Notamacropus eugenii: one gene and its partner. The protein of the gene in region 1 interacts with the protein of each later gene in a pairwise test. Links are inferred from orthologs where the notes say so. Each region holds a gene or a part of one and is shown in the gene's direction. Other genes may lie near its edges. The genes, in order: FARS2 and RCBTB2.

Region 1 (15,939 bases):
CAAATCTTGGTTTTGCTTCTGTATCTTATTCACTACGTTAGTCTTACTCAGATGGAATGAAATAAGAATAATGTAATGAATAAGATAAAGAGCAACTAATTAAACACTTATACATCGGGTACCACAGGGGATATGAAGTGTCATGGAGATCTCGCACAGCCATCCCTCCACTTGGCAAATGGTCTTGGACGATAGAATTATTTAGCTAGGTTTCCAGGGTCAGGGTCAGCTCTCCCTTGAATTTACAGCTAGCTTCCTTCTCTGTTGCCAAGAGTCATGTTCCTTGAAGCTGCTTCTTTCTTTAAATCACCACTTCTCTGTGTTCACCTCTCTCTAGTCAGTATGTGTTTCTGTTTCCAACTAAATGTAGGGTCTCCTCTTGGTGGAACACCTCTACTTTAAAGTGGTTGGCTGATGGATGGGGCAGAGAGGGAGAAGAGAGTAATCCCTTCCTCCTTGACTCCTACTGCACTATCAAAGGTGAAGAACAATTCTTTTTCAGGGGCTAGGTTCCTGTCTAACTGCTGACCCGGGTTACAACTGGCTCCCAAATTGGAGATCTCAGCCCTCTGAGGATCATTCAATTGTGGACCATCTTTGAGCAATTAATGTTCAGACTCCCTTTCTAACTCAGTCAAGGAAAACTCCTTTACACTTTATGAAGGAATGACAGGGTATTAACATGTCTTAGCACTTTATTAACATATTACCTCATTTTCTGAAACTGAATCCGAACCTGAAATTAAATAGCTTCCATTTGAATTGTCTTAGGAAGATTCTGCAGAGCACCTGGCAGGATAAGGTACCAGACTATGAGGTCCTTACTGAACTAAACTGCCAAGCATTCAAACTCTGCTTCAGAGAGCACAACGCTGGTGGGCTGGCCACATTGTTCAAATGTAAAACATAAGCTTGTCAAAAAGACTATTTTATGGAGAACTCACACAGGGCAAGTTTTCACATAGTGATCAGAAGAAGCAATACAAGGACACTGTAAAGGTCTCTCTTAAGAACTTGGAATTGATGTGTGACATGGGAGAACACTGGCACAAAACTACCCAACACGGCATGCCCACATCAGAGAAGGTGCTATACTCTATAAGCAAAGCACAACAGAAACAGCTCAAAGGAAACCCAGGATGAGAAAACTTGGAGAATCCACCCCAAATGTTCACATGGACTATCTGTGCCTGACCTGTGGTAGAGCATTTTAAGCTTGTATTGTTCTGATCAGCCACAGCTGACAAATTAAAACCTGACTCTAGCATAGTCATGTCATTTTGGTCCTCTCTGAGAACAAAGGACAACAACCAACCAACTAACTAACCAACTTCATTTTCTACTTTCTGCCCATTACTATCTTTGACTTCATCAAGGGAGAAGGGCAGAATTGGTCAAATAGTTAGAGATTAAATAACTCCCACTACAATTAACTGTTTCAAACTTTTTTCATATTCCTTAAGTGTTGAATTTATCCTTCCCTCATCTCCCTACTCCCTGACCCTCAGCAGATGACCTTGCCTCTTACTATACTGAGATTAAAGCCACTTGATTGAAATACTCTGATTGTTCTTTCCCACCTATGGATCACACATTCTTCCCTGCTTCAATATTTCTCTCAACCTAACCTCTCTTCCTTGCCTCCTGACTCACTGGAAAAGGAGGACTTCCTTCTCTTCCCCCAACGCTAACACTACAGTCAATGTTCTTTACCCCATTCCTTTCATCATCCTCCAGAGCTTTGCTCTCTCTCTCTCTCTCTCCCTCTTGCATCATTAATCTTTCTCTCTTCATTGGCTCTTCTTTTTTTGCTTAACTGTCACTCAATCAATCAGTCAAAGCCAGGTACTATGCTAGGCTCTGGGGACTGGGAAAGATATAAAAAGAATGAATTCACACAAATACAAAAGTGGGCAGATACAAGGTACTTTGAGGGATGGAACACTAGTAGTTGATGGAGTCATGAAAAACTTCATACAGAAAGTGGTGCTTGAGTTGAGGTTTAAAGGAAAAATTATTTCATGAATGGGGTATACAGTCTCATAGGAAGACATCTCAGAAATGGTAAATGGAATGTCATGTAGAAGGGACAGAGGAATAGTAAGATCACAGAATGGAGAGAAAAATGTACAAAGAGCCTGGAAAGATAGGTTGGAGTCAGGTTATACCTAATACCCTAAAAAGCAAAACAAGCCTTCTCTAGATACTGCTGTCCTAGATTCATGGGTTGCCAGAGCTGGAAGAGTACTTACAAGTTCATTGAGTTGAGGATCATAGAGGTTAAAGAATTTGCCCAAGTTCACACAGATAGTGACAGAGCTGGGAAGGTAGCCTCTTTCATTTCACTGACAAAAATGTTTTCATTTTTCTCTACAAAAGACTTCCTATTAACTTTCCCACTCTTATGGAGGTTACCAAATATCCTTTCTATGACCAAGTTGATAACCTTAGAATCATCCTTGACTTTTCTTGATGCTTTATGCTACACATGCAATCGGTTGTCAAATACTGTACCTCTCCTACCACTCTCCTCTCCACTAGCTGGCATCTTCTCCTCACATATTGCTCTGGACTACTGCAAATATCTCCTAACTCTAATCTAATTCAATGTTCTTCCCTTTTTAATCCATCCCCCATATTGCTGCCAAAGGGAGATATTCTTTTTTCGCCCACTTAATAGCAGTTTATTGTTTTCCAATTACATGTAAAGATGGTATTCAACATTCACTTTTATAAGCTTTTGAGTTCTAACTTTTTTTCTCCCTGTTCTCTCCTCCCCTCCAAGATGGCAAGCAATCTGATAAAGGCTAAACATGTACAATCATATTAAACATGTTTCCACATTAATCATGTTGTGAAAGAATCACAACAAAAGGGAAAAACCACCAGAAAGAAAAAAGAAAAACAAACAAAAGAAAACAATGTGCTTCAATCTGCATTCAGACTCCACAGTTCTTTCTCTGAATTGGTTAGCATTTTCCATGAGTCTTTTGGAATTGTCTTAGAACTATATTGCCGAGAAGAACGAAGTCTTTCAAAGTTGGTCATCACACAAAGTTGCAGTTACTGTATACACTGTTTTTCTGATTCTACTCACTTCACTTAGCATCAGTTTATTAAGTCTTTCCAGGTTTTTCTGAAGTTGGCCTGCTCATCAATTCTTATAGCACAACAGTATTCCATTACATTCATATACCACAATTAGTTCATCCATTCCTCAACTGACGGACATCCCCTCAATTTCCAATTCTTTGCCACCACAGAAAATGCTGCTATAAATATTTTTGCATATGTAGGTCCTTTTCCTTTTTTGATGATCTTTTTGGGGATACAGACTTAGTTGTTGTATTGCTGGATCAAAAGGTATGCACATTTTTATAGCCCTTTGGGTAAAGTGAAGTACTCTTAAAGCTCAAGTTGGATCCTATCATTTTCCTGCTTCAAAAAGTACCTGCATTTCCCTCTTGCCGGGAGGATAAGTACAAACTCTTCTGGCACTTGACATACTTCACAATTGGTCTTCAGCCTACTGTTCCAGACTTATTCAAAGCGATTCCCTTTGACATACTTATGTTCCAGCCAAACTGGTTTATTCAGGGCTCCCTTTATATGGCATTCCATCTCCAGGCTTTGTACAGGCTGCCTCCTAGGCCTGGAATGAATCCCTTCTTCATCTTTGCTTCTTAGAATTCCTTAGCTTTGTTAGAGCACAATGGAAGGGCCATCTACTACATGTGGCCTTCTCTAATTCTTGATGTTAATGTTCTTCTACCATCTGAAAATATCTATCTATCTAGAATGGGGGAACATAGTAGGCACTTAATAAATGCTTATTAACTGAAGCTACAGAATTGGCCTAGAACAACTTGTTAGGACATATTAAATTCTTTTCTGTTTACATATCTACAATGAGCTGTGGTCAAATGTTAATTTGTTTAAAAATGAATTATCTTTACGCCTAAATTTGCTTCTCCTTACTTCATGGGGTGTGTGCGTGTGTGTGTGAGAGAATACCTCCAATGTCCTGATTACCTGTGTTTGAAATGAACCTCATCTCCAGTTTCTAATACATTAGCAATTCCTTTCCATTTTCTCTTTGCAGTACCCCTTGAACCTAACCTTTTTCTATTCATATTGCTACAACCCTAGTTCCAGTCTTCCCTGCCTAGAGTACTATCAGAACTTTCTAAAGAGTTTTCTTACCTTTACTCTTTTTATTCAATACATCCTTTAATTTGCTGCCCTACTAATTTTTTTTCCTGCATAAATCTGGTTGTGCCACACTTCTGCTAAAAAAAAACCTCAGGTGGCTCCCTAGTGCCTCTTAAGTGAAGTTCAAATTCTGCAGTGTAACAACAATGAAACTAGATAACTAGCTTTTGTACCGCACTTTAAGATTTGTAAAATGATTTCCCAATATTCTCACTTTTTTCTTTGTAGCCTTGGGAGGTAGATGCTATTATTATCCTCACTTTCCAAATGAAGAAACTGAGGCAGAGAGCGGTTAAGTGACTTACCTGGTGTCACATTACTAGTGTCTGAGGCTGAATTTGATTTCCTTTTTTGATGACTCAAGGTCTAGAATTCCATCTAACGTTTTCCCAAAGTAGGGTTTTTTGTTTTTTTGTTTTTGTTTTTGTTTTGGCAGAACTGGGATTCAAATTCAAATTTCTTTGCTCTAATTGTAGTGTTTTTTTATACTATACCATGAGGACTCTTGTGGCTAATAATTTTTACCCTAATCTGGGGAAGAATTCAAGTATAGTCTCTAACAATGTCTCAGTCTTCTTCCTATTACAAGTACAGAAAATACCGTTTCCTTGTAACCAGATGGATCTGAGTTAAGTTCTTAGAGGTCAGGAGCACAGACCAGGATGATTCTACCAATTTGCATGCAAGAGTGAGGTATGGGATGTTGGGGTAGGGCTTAGCACACAAGAGGAGGCAATAAGGTTTAGCACCCTCCATTCCAGTCATTCTTTCCTCTAAGATTGTTTTACTGCAGAGGGGTCAAACTCTTAGGGTCACCTGATGTCCTGCAAGATTCCCCAAGTGCTGCCAGAACTAGATCAAAATATAATTGGAAAATGTTTTAAAATATACAAAAATACTACATAATGGTAATTTGTGGCTTTTTATTAAATATGCAACCTGCAGGGATCCATTTCTATTTGAACTTGACACCATACTCCTATGATTTTGCTCATGCCATTTCCTATTACTGAAATATTATCCATGTCCCTCTTTGCCTACTGCATTCTTACTATCTTGAAAAGCCCACCTCAAATCCTACCTCCTCCACTGAGCCTTCAAAGATCTCTCCCAGTGGTAATGACCTTTTCATTGCACCTCAGAACACTGTGTTTTGCATTTGGTAATATACTTCTTGCACATCGCAGTTATCTGTGTTTTTGTATTATCCTTTTCCTAGACTGGAATTTCCTTAAGGGTATTCTCCAAGTCCTACAACAAATAAACCTGCATCTTTCCCTGACATGGTACACAGTAGGTATTTTAATGCTTTCTGAATGAATGAATGCTAGAAGTTACCTTTTACCTTTACACAATGCCTAAATCCTCACTACAACATTCTGCCCAGTGATCGTCCCCCTGCTGCTTGAACACTACCCGTCATAGAAGAACCCGCTACTTCCTGTGAGGGCCTACTTAATTTTTTGTCTAAAATGATTAGGAACCTTTTCTTTACACTAAACTGAAGTTTGCCATTATATCTATGCAATGAAATTACTTCTACCCTCTGGAACCACAAATTACAACCTTCAAAATGTCTGACAGTATCTATCATATCATCAGGTTAAATATCCCCAGTTACTTCAAATAATTTTCTATTAAGATGGTTGAGTCTCATCATCATCCTGGTATACCTATTTCTGTATGAGAGACAACTTAAGTTCTTTTCTAAGAGTTCAGTTCAGAGTTGAATACAATACTCCAAATGTGGTATGAATAGTCTGCTTCTCACTTCCCTCCACTTTTGTTAATGAAACTCTGAAGCACATTAGCTGGTTTGAAAGCTGAGATACCTGAATTTCTAGCATGTCAGAATCATATTACAGGGGGAAAAATCTCCCAAACCATATGGTAGCCAAAACTTGGACTAAGACAGAAAGCTCTATAACAAGTCACTTGGGAGACTACCTCCTCTCTCCCTAGGTGAAGTCCCACATGCAACAGGTTATGCATTAATTTCTTCCCAGGAGCTCTGAAAGCCTGAGCTTTGGCCAAGGGCACAGGAGACCAGAAGGGTCAAAGAGGAGGGGAACACAGTTCAGTCCCTTGCACCTTCCCTTCCTCCTCCTCCTCCTCTTTTTTTCCTCTTTCCTGTTACAATACTTATTTTTGGTTTTTTAAGCAAAATGTCCATCCCTCCTTTAAAGAGAAACTTGTCCTTCCGTTTACACCATTAAGAAGTGTCCCGCACACCTTATTACCGTAAATGACCTCCTGGAGTTGGAGAGCAAAGGAGGTGACACGTGCCCACCACTCTGCCAGTCTTGGGGGGGGGGTGCTAGCCATTACCACTCACTATTATTACTATGAATACGTATCACTAGAACCTCAGTAATCGTGCAGAGAGGGCTTTGTGTCGGCCCGGACCGTCTCCCAGCACACTCCCTGCTGAGGAGCAGCGCACGGCCGGGCCGGGGGGCCGCCTCCCCCCGCAGTTAGACAACCGTATTATCACAGGGTCGGCTTTCTCCGTCACCCCATGTGTTCTGCTTCACGCCTTCCAGAGCTTCGTTCCGGGAAGGGATCCACAGGCTTCACAGGACACAGACCAGCAGGACAGCCGCCTCGCACACCCAGCCCCAGCCCCCCAGGTCCCCGCTCCGGGTAGCCCTCCGGAGCCGGCGTGGGTTCGCGCTGCCCTCCCAGGGGCTGTGGGGGAAGCTGGACGCTCCCAGGCCGCGCGTGCCCCCTCCCCACCTCGGCCCCGGCCCGCCGAGGGTCACCTGTAATTGTAGGAGGTGAACTTGCCGCTCTCTCTCAGCATCACCCGGTACAGATCTAACACTTGTGCCCGACTGGAGGCTGCCATCTTGGGAGGGGGTGGGGCAGAAAACAAACCGGTCCTTTCCCCGGAGGCCCCGCCTGATCCGGAGGGGCGGACTCGAATAAAAACCGGGGCCGAGGAGGCGCGAGCTCCCCTCGGCTCCCGGGCAGGGCCCGCGGGCTGGGCCCGGAGCTCGACACTCCGCTCTCCCCGCTTCTCAGGCGCCAGCCAGGACCCTCCGAGGGCTCTAGAGCTCGAGAAGTTTTGGAAAAAGAAAACAGGCAGCTCCGCGGGCAGCTAAGCGGGGGAGGCGTGGGAGACCAGGAAAGTCAAAACATCGGCGGGCATTCGCAGGTCCCGCCGGGGGCTGGCGGGCAGTTCAGCTGGGAACAAGTTAGGACTGTTTGGCCGGGGCGCCTGCCCTCTCCCTCCGCACCACCCCCTGGTTCTTATTTGCTGTTTGGTCCATTTCAAGTGTACTGATGATGCAGGGCCAGAGAAAATAGGACCGAACCACGGGGTGCGGGGCTAGGGCCGCTGCTCCGTCTGCAGGGTTCAGGCAGGAGAGCAACGGCTTTTCCAGCTTCTAGAGCCGGGAAGAGGAGTTCAGACAGGATGGGTGTGTGTGGGGGTGTAGGAGGCAGAAGTAGGCCCAAGTAAAGTAGGAGGTGCATCACCTTGCTGCAGGCTTCCCTAACTCCTAGTCCCGTTTTCTTAGGTCTTTTCAGATCCCGTCCCTGGGTCTGAATCTGTAGTATGCCCCTGGTGGGACGCAGTTCCTATCACTGGGGTTGAAGATGAAATAGACAGTTCTAATCTCACTACCTGTAGGACATTTGGCAAGCCTGGAGAAAACTCAGAGCAGATAAGATTGATGTTTTCAAGTATCCGAAAGTCTGTCAGATGGAAAAGGGATTACACTTACTTTGTTTTGCCCTACAAGGCAGAATGAGGTGGAAAGCTGCAGAAAGAAAATTCAGAAAATCCCTCCTTCCCTTCCCTCCTCCTTTCCTTTTTTCCTTCGTTCCTTCCTTCTTTCCTTTCTCCTTCCCTTCTTACCTCCTTCCTTCTTCTCTTTCTTTCTTCTTTCCTCCCTACTTCCTTCCTCCCTCCCTCCCTTTCTTCCTCCCCCCTTCCTTTCTTCTTTCTTTCCTCCCTACTTCCTCCCTCCCTCCCCCTTCCTTTCCTCTTTCCTTCCTTCATAATGAGGATTATCCAAAGTGGAATGGTAGAACTCTCCTCTCATAGGAGAGCCTGAGCAATTTAGCGAGGTGGTTGCCTTTTCAGTGAGATTTGGATCTCAGAGACCCGCTCCTACTCAGAATCCTGAGTTATTTCATGTCTTTGGGCTTCAATTGCATCACTTATCAAATGATAGGGCTGACCTGAACGACCTCTTTCAACCATAGATCTATGCTCCTGTGACACTAAGGACCCGTTTTGAAACTTGCCAGTCAGTTGCAACAGGCTGGCCAACCTCACATGCTCCTCTAGTCTGTGGGCTTTTAGCTAGCTAAAGCATTGCCTGTAGTTTTAATACATTCCTACCCAAAGCTGATTGCTCTTTGAGAGTTCAGAGCAGAAAAATGAAGCTCAGGGAGTAGAATGCTGGCAGTACAGGGAGTTGAGGGGTGCCTGGTGAAGCTGCTAGGCGAAGGCTCCTTTATTTATGTTCAGGCACTTTTCAGGACGACTTGTTTAGCGGCTTTTCAGAAAGGCCCCGCGTGAGTTTCAAGATGGCGGCGCCCAGAGTACACGAGAATTAGTTCTTCAGTCACTTCAAGTCCCTTTCCTGAGAGCGAATCTGTGCCCGAATCTCCAGTTGTTGACATTTCCAGCGTCTCCGCAGTTCTGGCAGAGTAGTTGGTGAGTGCGGAGCCGACCTTCTGGAAATGTTGGTGCGGGTTACTAGCGGGAGCTTGAAGTGGGACCTGGACTTTTCTGACCAGGCATTCCCCAGCGTGTGTTGGCGCTTAGCTGAGGAGTCTTGTCGCGTTCGTTTTGTGGGGGAAGTATCAGCAGTAAGATTGGCTTGCAGAAATTCAGCGCCTTAAAAAAAAAGTCTTTATTTTGTAGTTCAGGGAGTCTACGGGAAATTCAGGAACGAGGCAAGAAGTGCGGACGAGCGTTTTCTTGAGGCATTTAGGATGGACAGACCCTCCAGAAATCGCGTGACGCACATTCCTGCCCCTCTTGTCTTTGACTAGTGCCGTGGTACTAGCTTTCGACGCTGGGACGAAATTCTGTCTTTTCCTCCCTCCTGGGAGGCTGGCAGTTTGCAGAGCACTTCACCTGATTTTCAGTGTTACAGGAGTGAAACGTCGCACGACCAAGACTCGGAGGACTGCTTTTATACTCCAGCGCAGGAGGATACTTGTCCTTTCCTTTGTGCTATTCCCCACTCTTCCCCTCTCAGAATCGCATATCGGACACTCTCGGTTTGCTTTTTGAAGACAGTGTTCATGATTGGTATGCATCTTCTGTGTACACTATAGGTATTTTACCTCTTTTTTAAATAATCGATCCGTGTTTTCTGCCATACTTGATCCTTCCCAGTGAATGCCTTTGCACAGTATGTCAGTCTGTGTGGGTTAAGTGCTATAGGTTTGGTGGAATTCTTCATGCAACTTCTCTGTATCAGAACAGATTTTAGCTCGTGAGCTGCATTGATTTTCATGGTGAATTTGTCACGTGCTCATGGTGGTTGCAATATAAGACTGAATGTCAGTTTTTAGAAATCTATAAAAATATTAACTGTGTTTATATAACTCAGGGTGTAATAGTGGGGGGGAGATAAGCATTTTAATAGTGCTTGTTACTGCAGTTGATCCTCACAACCATCCTGATAGCTGACTGCTATTATTATCACCATTCTATGATTGAGGAAATTGATGCTGAGAAAGGGCAAGTGACTTGCTTAGGTTCACAAGCTAGTAAGTGCCTGACCCCAGGCCTAACTATTTACTGCCTGTCTTTCTCTGTGTCTCTATCTCTCTCTCTTCAGTATTTGTATTTTAGATAAAGTGCTCATATAAATCTCATCATCATGAATTGAGAGGTGGTTTTCCCCATTTATTGCCCTCTCCCTGTCTACACAGTTTTTGGCATAAGTCCTGATAGCCAAATTACATATCCAGTACTTTCCTGTTTTGTAACCAACATGTTCTTATTATGTCCATAATGTTTGAAAGACGCTATGCTAGGCCCTGGAGATAGAAATACAAAATGAAAAGCAGTCCCTGACCTCAAGGAGTTTATATTGTTCTTGAGATACCACATTTAAACTCAACAAAATTGTAGATAGAAAAAATCTGAAATTACAAATTTACACAAATGCTTCAGATTGATGTGGAACTGACTCTCTTGAGTTGTTAAGAGCTAAGTCAGCAGAGTATAAGCTCTGGGGTCTTTTACTAGGTTGAAAACATTTTGAGTATTGTCCCAGGTAAAGATTAAATTTATTGTCCAGAAACCACCTATTTAATGGAGAAGTTCATCACTACTAGATTGACCAAAAAATTATTGAATTCTTTGGTCATATTAAAGTATGAATAAAAGACAAATAAAAAAATTCCCCTCATTCTACTTCCACAGTGACATACTGTTAGATCAACCAAACCACATCAATACTGATATTCTTTTAGTAGATGAATCCTGAATATAAAATTAAGTTAGTTGTAAATTGAAGGGGACCTCACAAGTTCTCCTTGGAGAGACAAATTAAGGAACTGATAGATTTATTTGATCAGCTACCCAAAAGCAGCATAAAAAATAATTTCATGGGACACTTGGTATATCTTGTCTTGTAGTTCATGATGAATTTTAGCAAAAAGATTCTATGAAAATAATAACTGACGTCTATCTATTGCAATTAGATTTGAAGGACACTTTACAATATCTTGTTTGATCCTTACGATGACCCTGTGAAGTAGTGACTATTTCCTCATTTTGTAAATGAAAAAACTGAGACATAGAGAGGTTAAATGAGCCTCTTTCCCTTCAGTACCATTTCACATGATGTTTCATTAGCTCCTATGGTTTCTATTATTATCTCTCTGCAGTTGCCTGTCAGATCTACTTGTTCCAATACTGTCTCTCCAAACCTCCAGTTTTACATCTCCAACTGCATTTGCCATCTTGAACTAGATATCTTGTAGACATTTTTAAGTATATCCTAAGCTGAACTCATTTTCTTTCCCCTCAAACCTTCTTCCTGATGTCTATTACTATTGATAGTATCACCATCCTTCCAGTTACCTAGGCTTGAAACCCAGGTGTCATCCTCAGCTCTCACTCCACATATGCTTTTAGTGTTCAAGTTTTGTTCTTTATATTATTTAAAAAATATTTCTCATATTCGCCCCCTTCTCTTCCGTGACCTTGCCACAATCCTGCTGCAGGCCCTCATCACTTCATGCATAGACTATTGCAATAGTTTGCTGGCTGGTCTCTCTGTCCTCCAGTAAATCCTCCACTCATCAAATCAATCTTTCTAAAGTGCAGATTTATGTCACTCTGCTAGTTAGGGAATGCCAGTGATTACCTCTAACCTCCAGGATAAATAAAAAGTCCTCTGGTTTTTAAAGCCCTTTATTGCTTGACCCTTTCCTACCTTTCTTCTTGTACCTAACTCTCCTCTATGTATTCTGATCTAGTGATACTGGTCTCCTTATTTCTTCTTGGCATTTTCTCTGGTTGTTCCCCAGTTCTCTCCCTCTTCCTCTCTACATTGCAGATTCAAATAAGGGCCTACCTTGTGCAGGAAGCCTTATCCATTCATCCTTAGTTTTAGCTCCTTCCCTCTGAGGTGGACCCTGTTCATCTTGTATATAATTTTGTTTGTGTGCATGTTGTCTTTCCCAATAGACTTTGAACTCCTTGAGTACATGGATAATTTTCAGCCTTTTTTGTATGCTCATTAATTACTTCATTTATTCCTGGAACATAGTAGACGTGTAATAAATGCTTATTGATTGATTGACTGACATGTGTCTGATCACTCAACTGGATAAAAATATGTCTGAATTCAAAGCCAAATTTCCTGTGACTCCAAATCCAGCGATCTTTATGCCTTTTCCACTAAGTGTAATAATGACAGTAATAAATAATAGCTAACATTTATATAGCACTTATTATGTTCCAGGCATTGTTACACCTTACAAATATTATCTCATTTAATCCTGAAAACAGCCCTGAGAGATAGATGCTGTTATTATCATCCCCATTTTACAGTTGAGGAAACTAAGGCAAACAGACATTAAGTGATTCAGCCAAAGTCCCATGGCTAGTAATTGTTTGAGGTTGGATTTGAAGTCATGTCTCTCAAGATTCCAGAACCAATATTCTATCCATTACATCACCTACTACTGGCAGCTGTTGCAGAGGATAAAGAATTAGAAGAAATTCTGTGAAGCACTTGACAAGTTCCAGACAAGTCAAAACACTCATTAATAGTTGATGACTTCATTATGAAAGTGGACACAGGAAGGAATGGTGAAATGTGTGTTAAAACATGGTTTAGGCTAAAGAAATGAAAGAAACCAAAGGCTTGTGGACTGCTTTGAAGCCTTACACTTGACCATCATGAATATGTCCTTCCAAAAGATGTGTTGGAAATCATAGCTAAATGCATCATCACAAAAATTAAATTTCCTGTATTTTAACAGACAGGAAGTCTTCTAATTCCTTGTACCTGGTATTCCCTCTGATTGGTTTTGTATGTGCAAATAATTAACTATCCTCTCTGAGTAGCACCTGCCTAAAACTAGTTTATTGCAATCAGATAAGATTTACCAAAAGCTTCATCTGACAGACATTTAATGATAAAATTATAGCATAGATTATTTATTTAGACATTTATTGATTCAGCAAATTAAGCTGTTAATATAAATGATAAATGCGAGAAGATCTTTGTCCTGAATGAGTTTATAATTATCTTGCACAGTGCTTTGCCATACATAAGGGTTTAATGTTTGTTGAATTGGGGATACTTAAGTATTATTATGTTGCATTGTAATTAGGCATTAATAGAAAGCAACTCTCATCATTAGCCATTGGCTGGCAACCAGGTGATGACGTTTTTTTCCTCCCTAGAGTAGCTTATAAAGATTATTTATTAAGGTAGGGAGAAGTTGTCAGTCTACTTGAATCAATAGATATCCCACATCAGTGAAACTATAGTTATGTTTCACTGATGAATTAAGCACAAAACCCAATAAACAATCAGACTGTAGTTCTGTCTCAGTGTGAAACTTTATTCTAAATTAGTTTTACTCAGTCCAGACAGATACTTAGTTTTTCTCTTTTTATTTGGTTAATTCAAATCTCTAGTCACCATCACTTCTGACAGTTTTAAGGGAAGCTATGTTTCCTGTAATATTTTACTGAGCTAAGTCTTGAAGGAAGCCAGGGAAGGCAGAAGTTGGAGGAGAGGATGGAGAGCATTCCAGGCATGGGACATTGTCAACGAAAAGGCAAGGCTTTGAGAAAGTTGAATGGGGTATGAGTAAAAGCAAGAAGGTAAGTGTCACTGAATGGTGAAGTATGTGGAGGGGAGTAAAGTGTAAGAAAATTGGAAAGATAGGAAGGGGACAAGTTGTGAATGGCTTTAAAAGCCAAACAAGATTTCATATTTGAGTCTGGAAGTAAGAGGGAGGAGTTGTGGTGAGATGGAGATATTGTTTGGGTGTGATTCAGGAAGACGAGTTCAGATCCAGCCTAGAACACTTCCTGACTATGTGGCGAGTCACATAACCTCTGTCTGCCTCAGTTTCCTTACCTGTAATGGGGAGCATAGCACCTACCTCACAAGGTTGTTGTGAAAAGATCAAATGAGATAGTATTTATAAAGCACTTAGCCCAGTGTTTGGCACATAGCAGTTGCTTAATAAGTACTTGTTCCTTTACCTTCTCCAATTGGAATTTGATATGTAGGGGAGTGTGATGTGGTCTTACCTTCCCTTTTTTGTCTGTTTTGAGACTATGTCTCCTTCTGTTTCCCAGCCTTGAGGTGCAGTGGCCACTTATGGGCATGATCCCACTGTTGATTAACACTGAAACTTTGACTCTTTCTGACCTAGACTTCATTTTCCACTCAGGGGCGCATTGTATTGGTGCTGGACAGAGTCAAGACACCCAGTTTGCTGAGCCCATTGTAGCTCAGAACTGATCCAGCAACCTCAGCATCCTCTGTAGCTGAGATTACAAATTTTGTATTTGAACCTGCAGCTAATAGGGAGCCACTAGAGTTTCTTTGAAGTGTGTGTGTGTGTGTATGTGTGTGTGTGTGTGTGTGTGTGTGTGTGTGATGTATTCAGACCTGCATTTTAAAAAGGTTACTTTGGCTGTCTAGTGGAGAATAGACTGGAGTAGGGAGAGGCTTGAGGCAGAGACTGGCTTGATGTCCATTGCCACAATTCTTATAAAAAAGATGATGAGAACCTGCTGTAGCATGTTCACTGTGGATGGAAAGAAGAGGACATTTAGGAGACATGTTGTGGAAGGAGAAACAAAAGTTGGCAACAGATTGAATATGTGAGGTTGAATGTAAGAAGTAGAGGATGACAGCAAGGTTACTAGCCTGGGAAGATGGTGGCAAGAGCTCCTGGAAGGTCCTTGTGCTTTTTTGTGTATCCCTAGAGCTCTGCACAGTTCGAGGCATGTAGGAGACACTTAGTAAATGTTTATTGATCGATACCTAGTGCCAGTAAATAGGCAGGTTAGGGAAAGGGGACTTTTTTTGGGAAAGATGATGAATTCAGTTTTGGACGTGTTGAGTTTGAGATACAGGACAATCTGTTTAAGGTGTCCACTGATTGAGATGTTGGTGATTCAAGACGATGTCAGGAGAGAGGTTAGGGCTGAATAAATATCTTAGAATCATTTGTATAGAGGTAGTAAGTGATAGAACTAGGATTTGAATTCAGTTTCCCAATATCAAGTTTTTCCCTGGTACCAATAGCCTTCTTAAAGACAACACTTTGATTATGTGTTCCAGTTATGGTGAAAGCTCTGTTTGGCTGATCAAATGCAGAATGTAGGCTAGCTAACAAATTTTCAAATTATATTTTCAGAAAAATTTAGCTATTAACTATTGGTTAATGGTTGTTTAATAATTGCTCTATTGATTCCAAGTACTACTGAGTTGTAGTATTATTCCTCGGAATTGCAAAGTTTGTTAATTTTTATAAATCCATTAGTTGTTCAGTTTTTTCAGTTGTCTGACTCCTCAGTGATTCCATTTGGGTTTTTCTTGGCAAAGATACTGGAGTGATTATACCACTTCCTCTCTATCTTGTTTTATAGATGAGGAAACTGAGGCAAACAGGGTTAATTGACTTGCCTTGGGTCACACAGCTAATAAGTGTCAGAGGCCAGAGTTAAACTCAGGAAGAGTTTTCCCCACTCCTGGCCCAGCACCCTATACACTGTGTCACCTAGCTGCCCTTAATCTATTAGTATAATAGACCTTTAAGTCAAAGATGGTCTGTGAGTACTTCCTGCTTTTAAAAGGCATGTTACCCTAAGAGCAGTGGATTATTATGTAAATAATAAGCTGTCTAACCTGCTATTCACTGACTTTAAGCTGCCTGCCAAAACAATCTATAAAAATGCTTGTGTAGAATGAAGAGTGCTCATTATGATGTAATGAAGAAATAATTCTCTTCACATAATTAATGAATGGTTCTAAGTCTTTTGTGCATATTCTTTGTTTCTATTTCTCTTTTTTTGTTTTCTTTTCTAGGGCTATCTTTTCCATTTATGGTTGCTCCTATATGCCTTTCTGAGTTGGAAAGTTGATATAATTCAAATAAGACCTTGAATTTGACCTATTGTAGTCAGTTTGGGAGCGCAGTTAAATTTTAGACTTGGAGCCATGTTTATGTCTTGAATGCTGTGTATTCCTTGTGTAGCTATAAAGCATT
Region 2 (15,806 bases), on another chromosome or scaffold:
GTCACCCAGAAGACAACAGAGAAATACACAGTGGGCCAGAGAAATAGGTAACATACTATGAAGAAAGAATTGCGGGAGGTTCAGCTTAAAGGATATGTAGAAAGATGTATGGAAAAGGAGGCAATGTAGTGAAAATGAGGAATGAACAGCTTGTATTATTCACATAATATCAAGAGACCAATAGGAAGGTCTCTAATACGTTGAGCATCCTCTCCATCCTTATCTGTGAGAGTTATAGGACACAGGATAAGTTATGGATGGGTTGTACTCTATAAAATACATACAAAATTACACTTGGATTTGTGGAGCTCCTTTTTACTTCAGCATTGGCAGTGGTAAAAAGAGGCTGGAGCTAAGAATCAATGTTCAGACTTTCTACAAACGAGATAGCATAGGTTAAGGCACTGTGAAAAACCTTAAAGTACTACGTAAATGCTATCATTGTTATGATAATTTAACATTGATACTTTCAGTGTATGAATTTTGTCCAGTGAGCCTGAGTTGTCACTACCGAAAAACCCTAATTCTATCTACATTGACATCTTTGTGGTTTCCATTTTGCTGTGACTTATTAATGTCTTTCGCAGGGAGAAGACAATCAAAGAGCTGATACGAGACTATTTCATCATGCAGTCAAAGGTAACAAGAAACATAACTTCATGAGGCCTTTTGGTTATTTTGCCTTAATGTAATCAGAAAGAGAAGCAACACAAATGATCGTAAAGAAAACTGCAGCTTACGTAGTACCAACATCCGTTGCAGAGCATCAAGTAGAGGAAACTGTTTAAAAACTTCATTGTGAAGGTAAGTACAAAAGCAAAATATATATATATATATGTATATGTATATGTATATGTATATGTATGTATGTATGTATGTATGTATGTATGTATAGTTCAGGATGAAGGCATTTAAGAGGTCAAGGTTCTGAATTATCTAGAAGATTCCATCTATTATAATTAAGGGTGTCCCAAAAGTCTTACTGAAGTTTCAAGCCACAGTGTTTGAAAATTGCTGACACTTTTGGAACACTGTGTTAAGAGTAAACTTTTAATAGAGACTAAATAAGAAAAATTGAATTTTAAGAATGTAGTAATATAATAGAACTCGATTTACTATAACTGATGGTTCCACATATGGATGGGGTGGTGGTGGCTGGTGGAGCATGTGTATTTTCTTGTGTTGTTAGACCAAAATTAGTACAGGCATTAGAGAATAATCCATACTTGGTTGCATCTCAGCTTCAGAGGCTGCATTGAGTGCACAATCATCTGCAAACAGAAAAGCATGCACCAACACTCCCTCCATTTTAGTTGCGGCATGTAGTCTTTTCAAATTGAAAAATTTACCATCAGTATGGTAGCTGACCTCGATGCCATGTTCATCCTCACTGAAATCATTTGACAACATGGACAAAAGCATCATGCTAAAAAGAAAAAAAAGCATGAAAGCATGCACACAGCCTTGTTTCACTCCACTGGTGACTGGGAAGGCACAAGAGCATTGTCTATTAACTAAAACCTGGGCAAGTATGCTGTCATAAAATTGACATACAATACTGATGAACTTCTCCAGGCAACTAAATTTTGACATAATTTTCCATAAGCCCTCACAATTAACAGTATCAAAGGCCTTAGTCAGATCTACAAAGATTGTGTACAGACCTCTGTTTTCCTCCTGGAGTTGTCAGGCAGCAAACATCATATCAACTGTTGCTTGGCCCTTTCTGAAGCCACACTGGCTCTCAAGTAGATGACCATCTTCCAGGTGAAGGATTAGTCTATTAAGGAGGACTCTGGCAAGAATCTTGCCAGCAATGACTAAGAGAGAGACCCTATTGTGATTGTCGCAGGACAATCTATTTCCTTTACCTTTACTGAGATGGACAATGGAGGCATCCTTGAACTCTTGGGGGATATAACCTGGAAAATTTCAGTCAGCTTTTATATGAGCAATTGACCCCCGCCTTGCAAATCTCAGCTGGAAAAGAGTCAGCACCAGGTGCTTTACCACATGAAAGGAACCTAATGGCATTCAAAACCTCTTCTTCAGTTGGAGGTTCATCTAGGGAGGGATTGACTTCAATCTGAGATAAATGGTCATTGGCCTCAGCATTGATTAATGATGGTCTGTGGAGAACACTATGGAAATGTTCAGCCCATCTTTCTAGGATCATGTCCTTATCACTAATCAACGTGGTTCCATCAGCACTGAGTAGCTGTGAAGCATCATAGGTTTTCAGTCCATAAATAGCTTTCAGGGAATCACAAAAGCACTTTGGATTGCTACTATCGGAATAAGACTGAATTTCATCTGCCTTCTTACTAAGCCAGGAATCCTGCATCTCTCTAAGCTTTGCTTTTACTTTACTTTTAATGGAATTAAATGCTGTCTTCTTAAAGACGGACGAACTATCCTGCTGGTAAATCCTGTGGAGTTCTCGTTTTTCATTTAGTAGCTTCTGAATTTTCACATCATTTTCATCAAACCAGTCTTGGTGTTTGTGAATGTTCTGACCCAGATGAGCAAATGCAGTGCTGTACAATTGGTTACAGTAAATGGAGAAGTTTTGAAAGCTGTGGTTAAGTTCACTTACCTTGGCAGTATACTTTCTAGGGATGTACACGTTGAAAATGAGGTTGACACATGCATTGCCAGAGCTAGCTCAGTGTCTGGAAGGTTCCTAAGGAAAGTATGGGAGAGAAGAGGTATTAAGACTGACTATCAAACTGAAGATCTACAGAGCTGTTGTGCTGACCTCATTGTTGTATGCCTGTGAAGCCTGGTCTACCAGAACCATGCCAGGAAACTGAACTGCTTCCATTTGAATTGTCTTAGGAAGATTCTGAAGATCACCTGGCAGGATAAGGTAGACACTGAAACCTTGCTCAAACTAAATGGCCAAGCACGCAAACTACGCTTCAGAGAGGGCAACTCTGATGGGCTGACCACGTTGTTTGAATGCAAAATGTATGCTTGCTGAAAAGACTATTTTATGAAGAACTCACACAGGGCAAATGATCATGTAGTGGTCAAAAGAAGCGATACAAGGACACTCTCAAGAACTTTGGAACTGATTGTGTGACATGGGAGACACTGGCACAGGACCGCTTAGCACAGAGTGCCCACATCAGAGAATGTGCTGTGCTCTATGAGCAAAGCAGAACTGAAACAGCTCAAAGGAAATGCAGGATGTGCAACTTTAGAGTAGCCACCTCAAAGGTTCACAAAGCCACAGATTGTGCCCAATCTGTGGTAGGGGATTCTGAGCTTGTATTAGTCTGATCAGCTACACTCAGACACATTGAAACGTGATTTTATCATAGTGATGTCATTTTGGTCCTCTTGGAGAACGAAGGACAACAGACCAGTATGACAGAACTATCTGTATCAAGTAAGTACTGCTTTATGACATCTCTCTTACTGTCTTAAAATGGTAGTAAGGCATAATACTACTACTATTACTAATTAACATTTTACATAGTACTTTAAGATTGCAAAGCCATTTAGAAACATTTTCATCATTTATTCTCACAACAGTCTTAGAAAGTAGGTGCTATTATTATCCCATTTTACAGATAAGGAAAATGAAGTAGGCAGGGGTTGACTTGCCCAGGGTCAAGAAGCTAATGTCTAGGCAGGATATGAATTTAGGTCTTTTTCACTCCAGGTCCAACGTTATATACTCTTCATCACTTAGCTGTCCCCATGGAAAGAACACTGGACTAGCAATCAGGAAACCTGATCAGCTGATTGACCTACACAAATCAGTTAACTTCTCTGTACCTCAGTTTCGTTATCTGTATTGGATGATTTGTGAAATCCCTTCCTACTCTATTACAAAGAGCAGCAAGCAATGGAAATAAAAATAGCATCTTAATAAAATTTGCCAAATGCCTCATTTTAATGGAGATTTTTAAAGTAAAAATAGTTTACACTCATTGCTTTAAAGTATGCAAAGTGCTATGTGTGCCTTATTACCCTTAAACCATTATTTTCAAGCAGAATAAAATGACAATGATCCATTACTTTTATTTGCATTATGTAAATAAAATAAACTGTATTTGTTTACATTATAAAAATGTATATGGCTAGTTAAATTTACAACGTTTGGCATTAATCATATGGCTACCTGTAGAATGAGGTCATTTCTTTTAAGGCATCCTTTTGTTGCATGAGACATTTACCCTGCTAGAAAATATTTCATTACCACTGTCAAAATGTGCCTCTCTTCCAGGTCACTACTGCTACCTGGTAGTGCTACATACACATACTAAGTTTCCTATGTAGTTGGTGTTTGTTGTGTAAGGAGAACACAGAAAAGTCTAACAAGGTCCCGAATATGAAAGGTTATGAAAATGCTTTAAATTTTAAAACATTTTTATTTATTTTTATTGAAAAATCCCAGGATTTTTGTTTTAGATCCCTATCCTGTTCAGTTGTTTTTCAGTTGCAAAGTATCCTTATTTCTCCTACAAAGTGGGGTGTGTGTGTGTGTATGTGTGTGTGTGTGTGTGTGTGTGTGTGTGTGTGTGTGTGTGTATTCATTCAGCAATCATCAAGTGCCTTCTGGATACAAAAGACTCAGGCATTTCAGAATATACAGTTTAGATAAGCAAAAGGAATTTATCAAATACCATTGTTCAAGGACCTGAGCTTAACACTGAGAATACAAGAAAAATGAAAGTTTTTGCCCTCCAGGAGCTGTCTCTTGGAAGGAGACATATGTGTGTGTGTGTGTACACATATATACATGTATACTTACACACACAAATGCAAGATAAATGTTTTGGGAAGAAAGGTCTTAGGCAGCTGTGGGAATGAGGAAGCCTCATGCAGAAGATGGTACTTAAGCATAGTTCTGAAGAAAACAAGAAATTCTAAGAGGGATAAGTGAGGAAGGATGACCAGAATAAGAGCTCAAGGCTGAAGAGGGCAAGATAAGGTTTTAACTGACAGGAGTATGAGAAGTATTCATGGAAGAGCTGGCATTTGAACTACAGTTTAAAGGATGTGTAGGAATTCAATATATGAAAAGAGATGATATTTACAGAACTCTAGGATTTAGAATCAGAAGGGACCTCATCTAGTCCAATCCAGTCATTTTACAGATAAGGAAACCTAAAAACCAGAAAGGGGAAATGACTTGTGAGTAAGCAGCTCAGCTAGAATTAAAATGTAGGTTCTGACCCCAAACCCAGTGCTCCAACATGCCACACTTCCTTTCCAGGCATAGGGAACAATACAAAAGCATGGAGATAGGACACAGGCAAGCATTTTCCAGGAATAAAGTAGTCTAGGAGTTCACAGAGTTTGTAGAGGGGAATGTTTTGAGATAAGGACTGAAAGGGTAAGGAGGTCAAAATGTGAAGGGTCTTGAATACCAGGCAAAAGAGTTTGAACTAAATTCTGAAAGAGGAACAGTAGGAACACAAAAATCTTTCAACACAGATGGTCTAGAACAAAAGCTGGAAAAGAATTTATGTTAACCTCCATGGGGGGAGGGGAGGAGAGAGAGAGAGAGAGAGAGAGAGAGAGAGAGAGAGAGAGAGAGAGAGAGAGAGAGGACAGTTGATTGAAACTAGTGTGAGGAAAGATGGCCAATAGTGGGATTGACATATGAGAGGTATAAATGCAATGAAAAGGGAAGTGGACTTGGAATCAAAGGACCTGAGTTTGAATTCCAACCAGTTACTTACTGCTGAGAAATCTTGTGGAAGTCAGACTTCTCTGGCCCCAGTTTGCTTATATTTAAAAAGTGGGGGCTAGACTAGATAACTTCCAAAAACTTTATCAGTTATAAATCCCTGACTAACTAATTTATCCTGGTAACTCAGTCTTGGTCGAGTGGTTTATAATCCAAATTCACATAAGCCAGATTTGTGCTACAAAGTCAAATAATTAATCATGATAACTCCTGTGTGGGGTAATGGAGTTGGACTTGCAGTCAGAGAGACCTGGATTTGAGTCCTTCCTCTGGACCTGTGACCCTGAGGAAGTCACTTTACCTACCAGTGTCCTAGGAAACTCTAGAGCTAAGATTTAAGTTTCAGAGCACGTGCTCTGAAATCTAACACATGTATATGTAGCTACTATGAAGGACATGGAAGGGGGTAACATATGTTATATATTACCCCAGTACAGTGCCTCTTTAAAAAGTAGAGGCTCACTTACACTTTTAGCGTAGTTCTGAAAGTTGCTGCAGGCCTGTTAGGTGTGTAGAGATACATCTAAAGCATTGGAGGACTGGAAGGAACAGGAAAAGCTTGAAAAAACAAAAGGCCAGAAACTTTGGTACTGTAGCCTCATAATTCCATTCTTTTACAAGAAATCCTCTTATACCAGTGAAATCACAGCTGGTTTAAAAAAAAATCCTTCCTAATTTAGGCATAGGGGTGGGAGTGAGTTGTGGTACAAGGACCCAAGCAGTAAAATCAAGGATAGAAGATACAAAGTATAATAAACTTCAAACTCCTAAACAATTACCATTTAAAGGTTTAAACCTGCCCAAACTGGGCTGTTATCAGTGAGATAGCCTTCTTCTTACCATTGCTAGGGATACAATATCAAAGTTTTTGAGTTTTCCTTTTAAAGTCTTCATTTATTCCTTCCAGTTTCTCGATTGTTTCAGGAACTTTGGAAGTAACTCTGCTTACTACACACCTAACACTTAATGACTATGTAACAACTTTCCAAACTAAGCTCAAAGTTTCAGCGGGCCTCTCCTGTTATGGCAATGTACCGTGCTGTGCTAAAATGTAAACTGTGTTCTCTCCTCTCCCCCGTGGTAACAATGTATATATTCATAAACAGACTGCTCGAGAGTTCATTTGGGGATTTCTGGGCACAGAGACTGGCCATTTCCTTCTCCAGCTCATTTTACAGAGGAGGAAACTGAGGCAAACAGGGTGAAGTGACTTGCCCAGGGTCACTCAGAAGAGAAGTCTTCCTGACCCCGGACCTAGAGGATTGCAGTCTCAATTCTCTGGCTTGTCTTCTGACCTTGGGCTACGGTTCTTTCAATCCTATCTAAACCCCCCCGCCACACGTCCACTTCATAGAACAAAGCATTTTACAAATTCTTATTAAGAATTTAATGACTAGCGGCAGTAGTAACGCCTAACACTAACAAGGTCCAAGGCGCACACTGCCGGCCCTGGCAGTGCCCAGCTCTTCCCCCGAGGCCCGGCACGGTGGACGCGGGCTGGCTGGGCGCTCCGGCCCCGCGGGGGGAGGCAAGGCCGGCGGCAAGGACCGCGGTTCTGAGAGGAAGAAGAGGGCGCCAGCGATCCCGACGAGGGGAGGAGAGGAGGCGGGAAGGAGTCTGGGGAAAGTCCTCCAGCTCCCCCGCGCCCCCCCCGCCCCTGGACGGCGGATGTGGACTCAGACCTCCGAGGACCGACACTTTCCTACGGCGGGGTGGGGGCCTCGGGGCACTCGGACCAATCGCGGGGCAGGCCCCTTTCTCTCCCGAGCCCGGGCCGAGAAGCGGCCGAGGGGGAGGGGCCAGGGGAGGGGGAGGGGAGAGGAGAGGCGGGGGTGGGGAGGCTTCTCGGCCGTCGCGGCAGGAGGCCCGTCCCCCCTCCCCTCCGCGGGAATCCGAGGCGCCCCTCCCGCCGGGAGCCGGGGCAAGTTCAAGGGGAGGCGCCAACTCCGGGCAGAACGGGACGCGTCTCGGGCACCGGGAAGGTAGGAGAGGCGCGGGGGTGGGGCGGGCGTGGAGGCTGATGAGGGCTCCTTTACGGAAGGGGGGGCTGCCCCTACCCTCTACCCTTCCCTCGGGGACGCGGGCCCAGCTCCCGCCGACCTGAGGCAGCGGTGGCGGCATCGCAGAGAAGGACGGGACGCTCCGCCGCGACCGCCCTGGCCCCGTGTCTCCCGCCTGGTCCACACTAAAAGCGGCCAGGCGGGCAGGGAATCGTTCCCGCCGGCGTGCACGTGCCCGCTCGCGGGAGGGGGCGCGCGCGCACGCGCGTCACTGCGGTGCCAATCGCCCTGAAGCTCCAGGGACCGGGATGAGGGCGGGGCGGGGAGGGACGTGGGGGCGGACGCCGGGAATCTCCTTGATCTTCCACCGCTTCCCCAGAGGGGCGGGGCCTGGGCTGATCTGGGACGGGATTGGCTTACGGGCCTTCTTAACGTCTAAGAAGAGGGAGATTGACGTGGGTTCCGCCCCTCCCCCGCCTACCTTCTACCCACCCCCTGCCATGTCCCTATGTTTTCCTTTCGCCAACCTCCAGCTCTGTTCAAGTTCAGGTCAGTGCCTGCGTTTCCCCCTCCCCCCGCAGCATTTCTCCTCCACCCCCACCCCGCCTCCCCTCCTTGTTTGCACGTCGTCTGCTAAGAACTTGTACCCTCGTGCTGTCTTTGCTGTTTGCTGCGCTTTTGAAATACTTCTGCCTTTGGTCCTGGCATCCCTTGACATTAGGGAAATAGTACCAGCAAGCTAGGAAAAGCTGGTTTGGAAGTACGCGGAGATAAAACCTAATTTCTTCTCTCAGACTGAGAAAGAATGTAAAATGTTTTCTGATATTCCCCTCAGCCCTGGAAGTGTGGAACTGCAAAGCTGCAAACTTTCCCATGGCCTGGCCACTTTTAGGAATGGGTGCAGTAAATGATTGAACTGTGGCTTTTGTTGTAGCAAAATTTCATTAAAAGTTAGAATGCTATTCCAGTTGGAATGCAATTTTGAAACTATGAACTATTTTGGAACAACACTGTAATGCAAAGTTAACTTTAGTAATAGAGAAGATTTTTTTCTTAAAACTCCAATTTTATTACATATAATTTTACATGTAATATTATAAAAGGTACATTACACTTTTATTACATGTAGTTTTATTACACCTCTTAATTATTATACTTTGTCAGAGCAGAATAATGTATGTAAGTGTTAATTATTTGTTTTATAGAGTGCCTCTCATATTAGGTCAGTGGTACAGCGGAATACCCTTTACTTTATTCTGAGTAGGGTAGAGAACGGTATAGAATGGCATATGTTGGAATGGTATAATTCAATTCCACTCTATATAGTACAATGTAGTATAATATTCTAATACAGAAGTTAAGCTTCTTGAGAAGGAATGAAAGTTACATGCATGCGTCCCTAGTTGTAAAGTCTTGAGTTTCAGCTATGTGATGTCAGTTTCGTAGGTGGCAATGTGTAAGTGCCCTCCGAACATTTGTGAAAACATTTGAAGTAAAAATGTTTTGTGAAACATTTGAAGTGAAAATGTTTAAAGTAATAATTTAAGCTTAACATCCCAAGGGAAAAAGAAAAGATTTTGCACATTGGGAGGAAGATGTGAACTGAAGTTACTGAGCAACATGGGAAGTGGTTTTTAAAACTAAATGCCCTGCCTTGTAATTCATGGAAAATGTTCTCATGCTTCAATAATTTTTTCCTGGAGGGGGATGGAAGCTCAGAGAAGGGCTTAACCAGGCATACTGTAGCCACTGTCACTGCCATCCATAGCATGGAGTTTCAGGTACTAGAGCTCATGCCATTTAGGGTTTAATAATTCAGCTGTGGCTCATACTGGAAAGGACCAGATAACCAGTTAATTAATTGGTAACAACACAACGGTTTACCATTTCCTTCTCCAGCTCATTTTATAGGTAAGGAAACTGAGGCTAACAGGGTTAAGTGACTTGCTCAGAGTCACACAGCTGGTAAGTGCCTAAGACTGGATTTGAACTCAGGAGGATAGTCTTCCTATTTCCAAGCCCAGTCCTCTATCCACTGCACCACTTGATAACTACTAAATAGTAATTGTTTCTTTTTTACCCAGGAACGCTGAGGGTCTTCCCCTCCCAGGTAGATTTTTTTTTTTAATTAAAGGGGCCATCCCTTAAGTTAACTAATTTTTTTTTTTATTAAAGGGGCCATCCCTTAAGTTAACTAATTTTTTTTTTTTAATTAAAGAGGCCATCCCTTAAATACTTAAAGAAGCCTATTCATTAAATGGGTGTATCTCACTCAAAGTGAGAATGTGATAAGACCTTAACCTGCATCCTGGGCTACGTCCAGTCATCCTGATGAATATCAGGCCTCTCGACCCAGATGGTTTAGGAGAAGAAGGTGAGGTTGGTGAACTTGCACAGCTCTCCCTCACTCAAATCAAAATCAGGTACAAGTCATGTCATCATCTTGATGTCATGTTCCTCTTCGAGAATGAAGGATAAGCACAACAACAATTACAGAGCACAGGGGTGGCATATTTGAAAAGAAAAAAGAGCACACAGCATCTGGAGTCAAATGGACCTGGGTTCAGGTCTCAGGCTTTACCACTTAAGACTAGTATGACCTTTGAAAGTCACTTAACCTCCCATAGACTCAGTTTCTTCATTTGAAAAAATGAGTGGGTTAGACTAGATTACCTCTAGAGTCTCTTCCAGTTTTAAATCTCCAATCCTGTATAAGTTCTCAGAATAAACTATTAGAAACAAGTTGCTAAACTTTTAAAAGTATATTTTGGATATTAGAAAGGCTTGGATGATTGGTGAGATTTATATATAAGAGGGAGAAAAACTGCATTTGATTTGAAATTCAGTAGAGAAAGAACTGATCATTACTTGGCTTGATATTGGTGTTTTACTGAAATTTGTAAATTTCATTTAATAAGCTCTCTTAGTCTCATCTTTACATAGAACCAGAGAAGTTGTGTACCAAGTCTCATTAAATCCTTAATTAAGAATGCTTAGATTGGAAGATTCTAATAGAATGAAAAATTGGGGCAGTAAATTGTATTTGTCGCATCATTAGGGCTTCTCAAATGTCAAAAACCTATTAGTCTATAGTAATCAGATTAGAAGACATGAACCTTTTTGTTTACATCCCTCAGGATATCATGGTCTTTTGCTTTTACTTCATCACTTGTCTAAAAGTAAATTAAAATGGCCCCAGAGATATTGTTTAAAAAATAAACACCAGGTTTTACTGGAGTTTCATGATTACAAATCATAAAATGATCCAGGAAAGGGGAGATTTGACACCAGGAAGGGAGTTAGCAAAGTTGCTGACATCAAGGGTTAGTTTTAGAGGCTGAAAATAGACTGCCACATGAGATTGCCTTCAGAAGAGTAGTTATCTTGCCATTTTTGCAAGAGAGATTCAGTTTCCTTTACTGTAAGACTGCCATGATCCTGTTAGCATTCATTAGTCAGAGAGAGCAGGTGTCTAGTTCACATGGCTAAGCCTGTCCCATTAATGTGAAAATCTGTGTCCAGGAGATTGAGAGTATAATAGTATTTTTCTGTGTTAATTCAGTGTTGGGATATATCTCTAACATGTCTTTAATCTTACTATTCTGACCTAAAGGGTCATCTTACGAGAACATCTTATGGAAGATGTTTGATGGTAAAAAAAATCCTAGTGCTTAGTATTTGAGAAAGAAGTCTAGGTTGTGATTATATTATAACACTGTATTTATGCATACACAAATATGTCATATTGAAATAAATAGATTTTATATTTCACTAATCTAATGAATATGAGCAAAAGCTACCCTGCATATAGCAGGTGCTCAGTCAGTATTTAGCGATGAATTAATATGTGTTATTCAGCAAAGATCTGTATCATTTGAGAACATTACTAATATTGTAAATATTAATGCTGTCCTGGCTGAAGTTAGGTGTCCCAGTCAGTATTCCCTAAACACAAAGGAGATTTGAAAAAGGAAAGACCTCCAGACCTGGGGGCATGTGGTTCCTGTTAGGGGAATCACTGTCTGAGCACGGTCAGACAGGTTGTTTTGTGGACTAAACAATCCCAGCACCCTGGAGAGGTACTGAGATTCCATGAAGCCCTTGTTCTACTATGACTGACAGGCTAGAAGCCAACTATGCCAGTCTTCCCCAGGGAATAAATCATTTTGCTGCTGCCCTTTGGCAAATCTCAGCCTGGTATCTGAGTTATCCCATAGGAGCCTCTACTATCTCAGAAAGGTATGCGAATCCCTCCCAACCTTGGTGTATCAGTTATTTCTCTCCCCAAGATTACAATGAGATAGAGGTGAACTGGTGTTAACTTTACTCTTTCTGTTTATTGTCTGTAGCTAATGGGATACATTCCCTGGAAGAGAATCATGTTGCCCATCTGGCATCCGGACAGTCAGGAGATTCCAAAACGCATTGGACTTTCTGGCAGCCCTCCCCTCATTCCAATGAAGGATGACTCTTCCTGTTGTTGGTTAAAATCTTAACACCTCCTCTACTCCTCATTTGCTTGTCTTAGTTCCCAGAGGTTACACTCTCCCCTGGCTTTCCCCTACCTTATCACAATCTCGAGCTGTTCTGAATATCTTGCTTATATAGTTTATCTCTGAAGGCCAACTTTGACTTTCTCATCTCACTAGAGGCTGCCAAAGGTTATTAAGTCTGCTTTTCTCACTACATTCAGTTTTTCTCTTGAACAGAGTGCCTTGTCATAGATTGCCCTTCTTTCTGGAGGGGGACTTACCTATTAGGTTATTGTTGCACCCTTTCCCTGGATCCTACAATATTTCTGTTTTCCTTATACTTAGAACTCCTCTCCAAATTCTGTATCTTCTGAAAGGACTTGGGAGATTTCAAAATAGAACTCACATTCTATGTTCTTTCAGGCTGGTTGAGTGTTTTAAAGTTTGGTTGCATATCATCTCATTTTCTTTTAGGGACAGAGACTGGATCTGTGATTTCATTGGCATAGGGAACTTGAAAGGGAAGAAATTCGCTCAGTTGGTGTGTGAGCACTTTCTGTGCAACTTTATAGTCTTGTAGAATTGCCAGGATCACTGAGAAGGTCAGTGATTTGCCTAAGGTCACATAATCAAAGAATCTGAGGATGGTATTGCTGATGGTTTTATGTCTATGTCAGGAAAGACTGTATAATTAATTAGTAGTCTTGTTCGTGCTGCATAACTTGAAAGGCAACATAGTGTAATACATTCATGTCAAACTCAAGTAGAAACAGGGGCTATTAAAACATAAGGATCTCTGCAGACTGCTTTCAAGATTCCTTCAAGCTCAACTCCCACCATATGCAGGATTCCCCATTATCTTCCACTGCTAGTCCCCTCCCTGTAAGATTATCTTCCACATATACCATATATATCCTGTATGTACATGGTGGCGTGTTTTCTCTTCATTGTAATGTGAGGTCCCTGACACCATGTTTTTGCTTCCCTTTGTATCCCTGGTACTTAGCATAGTGCCTAGTACTAAAAGATTAAGTGACTTGCCTAGGCTCTCTTTTAAAACTTAGTTTTAAAATGCAACATTGTATTTATTGTATTTTTATTTATTTTATTAAGCATTTCCCAGTTACATTTTCATTTGGTTTGGCCCTAACTCAGGAGTGTTCGACACCTTTGTTATAGTAGAGTGCTGGATTTGTAGTGCAGAAAACCTGGGTTCAAAACCTGGTTCAATCCACTCATTGCTAACTGAGTAACCTTAATTCTCTGAGCCTTAGCTCACTTCTCGGGAAAATGGGCATAATAATAGCATCTCTTCCTACACTTGAGAGACAGCGTGCCCTAGTGAAGCTGGTCTTAAAGCCAGGCAGATCTTGATTCAAGTCTCACCACTGACCCTTTCTGGGTGTGAGAGCCTAGGCAAGTCACTTAACTTTTAGTGCTAGGCATTGTGCTAAGTACTAGGGATACAAAGAAAAGCAAAAACATGGTGTCAGGGACCTCACATTATAACGGAGAGACAGCATGCCGCCATGTACATACAAGATATACATAGTATAGATGGAAGATAATCTTACAGGGAAAGGACTAGCAGTGGAAGAGAATGGGGAATCCTGCATATGGTGGGAGTTGAGCCTGAAGGAATCTTGAAGTCAGCCAGGGAAGCTAGAAGTCATAGGTAAAGAAGGACAGTGTTACAGGCATAAGGGCAAATGTATTGAGTCAAAAGATGGAATGTCCTGGGTGATAAAGAGCAGCAACGAGACCATTGTCTCAGCTCCAACCATACAGCTTCTACTACTTGGATCATTGCCTCTACCTCCTCCCAAATGGTAACCTGGACTCCACTCCTCCCTAGGTCCCTGTGCTCTCCTAACTCAGCTTTTGCCTTAGCCTTCAGGGACCCAGGCCTCCACTCCACTTCTCTGCCCACTCCTCAACCCCTCCTCACCCCTTTTTTTGCTTTACATGTGGCCTGGCCTGGCCTGGCCTTTTTTCCAGGCCTCTTTCCCCCTTCCCCACCCTGTTAAAAATCTGTCAATTTATCTATGCCTACCTATCAATCTTAGGATATTTGGATGGGAGTGAAATGTAAGACCACAAAGGCAGGAAGGAACCAGGTTGTGAAGGGCTTTAAGTAAGAAAAAAAGGATTTTTTTATATTTGATCCTGGAGGTAACAGGATGCCTCTGAAATGTATTGTGTGTGGGAGGCACGGGAAGGTGATTTGGTTAGACCTTCGTTTTAGAAAATCACTTTGATACCTGAATCAATGATGGATTAGTGTGTGGAGAGACTTGACAGTGAGAAAATCAGAAGGCTATTGCAATAGTCCAGGTGAGAGGTGATGAGGGCCTGTACCAGGTGATGGCTGTGTGAGAGAGGTAAAACTGACAAGAATTGATAGTAGATTGAATATGTGGGGTGAGTGCAAGTGGGGAGTTGAGGATGACACTGAGGTTGTGGCCCTGCTTGACTGGAGTAATGGTGGTGCCATCAATAGTAATAGGAAAGTTGAGAAGGAGAGTTTTAGGAGAAAGATTATGAATTCTGTTTTGGATATGTTGAGTTTGAAATGCTTAGGGGACATCCAGTTTGAAATTTCCAAGAGGACATTAGTGATAATGAGAGTGGAGCCCAGGAGGGAGATCAAGGTTAGATATATAGATATGGGAATCATTTGTATAGCAGTGAGAGTTGAATCGAGGAGAGCCAATGGAATTGCCAAGAGAGGTAATCTAGAAGTAAAAGAGAAGTCCCAGGGCCCAGGCTTGGGGAATACCTGCTCCTAGTGGTTATGACTTGAAAGAATACCTGCAAAGGAAATTGAGAAGGAATTGTCAGAGTGGTAAGAGGAGAACCAGGAAAGAGCAGGACCATGAAAATCTAAAGAAGGGGGAGTATCAGGGAGGAGAAGTAATTGACAGTGAGAGAGACTGCAGAGAAGTCAAGAAGGATGACGATCAAGAAAAAGAAAAGCCCCTTAGATTTGGCAATTACGAGATCAGCAGTTACTTGGAAGAGGGCAGTTTCAGTGGAATGACAAGGTTGGAAGACATTGCAAAGGATATAGAGGAAGATGGAGGAGAGTGGAAGCACCTATTGTAGAAGGTCTTCTCAAGGGGTTTTAGACTTGAAGAGGAGAAGAGATATATAATGATAATGGGTTTGGCTGACCCAGTGAGATGTTTTTGTTTTTAGTTTTTCTCAGGATGAGGGAGCATGGGCATGTTGGTAGGCAGCTGGGAAGGATCCAGTTGGTAGGGAAAGATTAAATATGTGTGAGAGGTGGGGAAGGAGAGACAAGGAGGGAAGGAGATAGAGGGAAAGAGAAGGAGAAAGAAAAGGAAAAGGAGAACAAAGGAGGAGAGAAAAAGAGAGAGACAGAGAAAACGGTAGAGAGTGGTATCAAGAGTGAAGGTATTGACTTTGACAAGGAGAGTAGTCATCTTTTTATGCAAGACAAAACACCCAAGGTCTTGTACCACCTCATTCCCACCTGTTTTTGCCACTTTAAGCTCACACTATGCTTCCTGTGCTTTATATATTCTAGATTCCTGCCAAACTGGTCTTTTTTTTTTTTTTTTTTTGTTCTGCTTTCTCCTCTCTCTGTGACTTTGCAGTATAGCA

The links.
Region 2: the proteins of FARS2 (region 1) and RCBTB2 interact in binary tests that used the Homo sapiens proteins (3 or more experiments, as listed by UniProt). The two-hybrid records come from large-scale screens. The link is inferred for Notamacropus eugenii from reciprocal best matches to the Homo sapiens genes FARS2 and RCBTB2.

What each region holds. Positions count from the first base shown.
Region 1 is NC_092875.1:175,229,684-175,245,622, forward strand, and holds the start of FARS2 (phenylalanine--tRNA ligase, mitochondrial), read left to right. Parts: upstream 1-8,550; 5' UTR 8,551-8,881; intron 8,882-8,910; exon of another isoform or gene 8,911-9,484; intron 9,485-15,939. Other genes in the region: LYRM4 (LYR motif-containing protein 4), read right to left, coding at 6,975-7,060. UniProt on the Homo sapiens protein: Is responsible for the charging of tRNA(Phe) with phenylalanine in mitochondrial translation.
Region 2 is NC_092876.1:107,952,338-107,968,143, forward strand, and holds the start of RCBTB2 (RCC1 and BTB domain-containing protein 2), read left to right. Parts: upstream 1-7,636; 5' UTR 7,637-7,689; intron 7,690-7,807; exon of another isoform or gene 7,808-7,960; intron 7,961-8,144; exon of another isoform or gene 8,145-8,256; intron 8,257-15,806.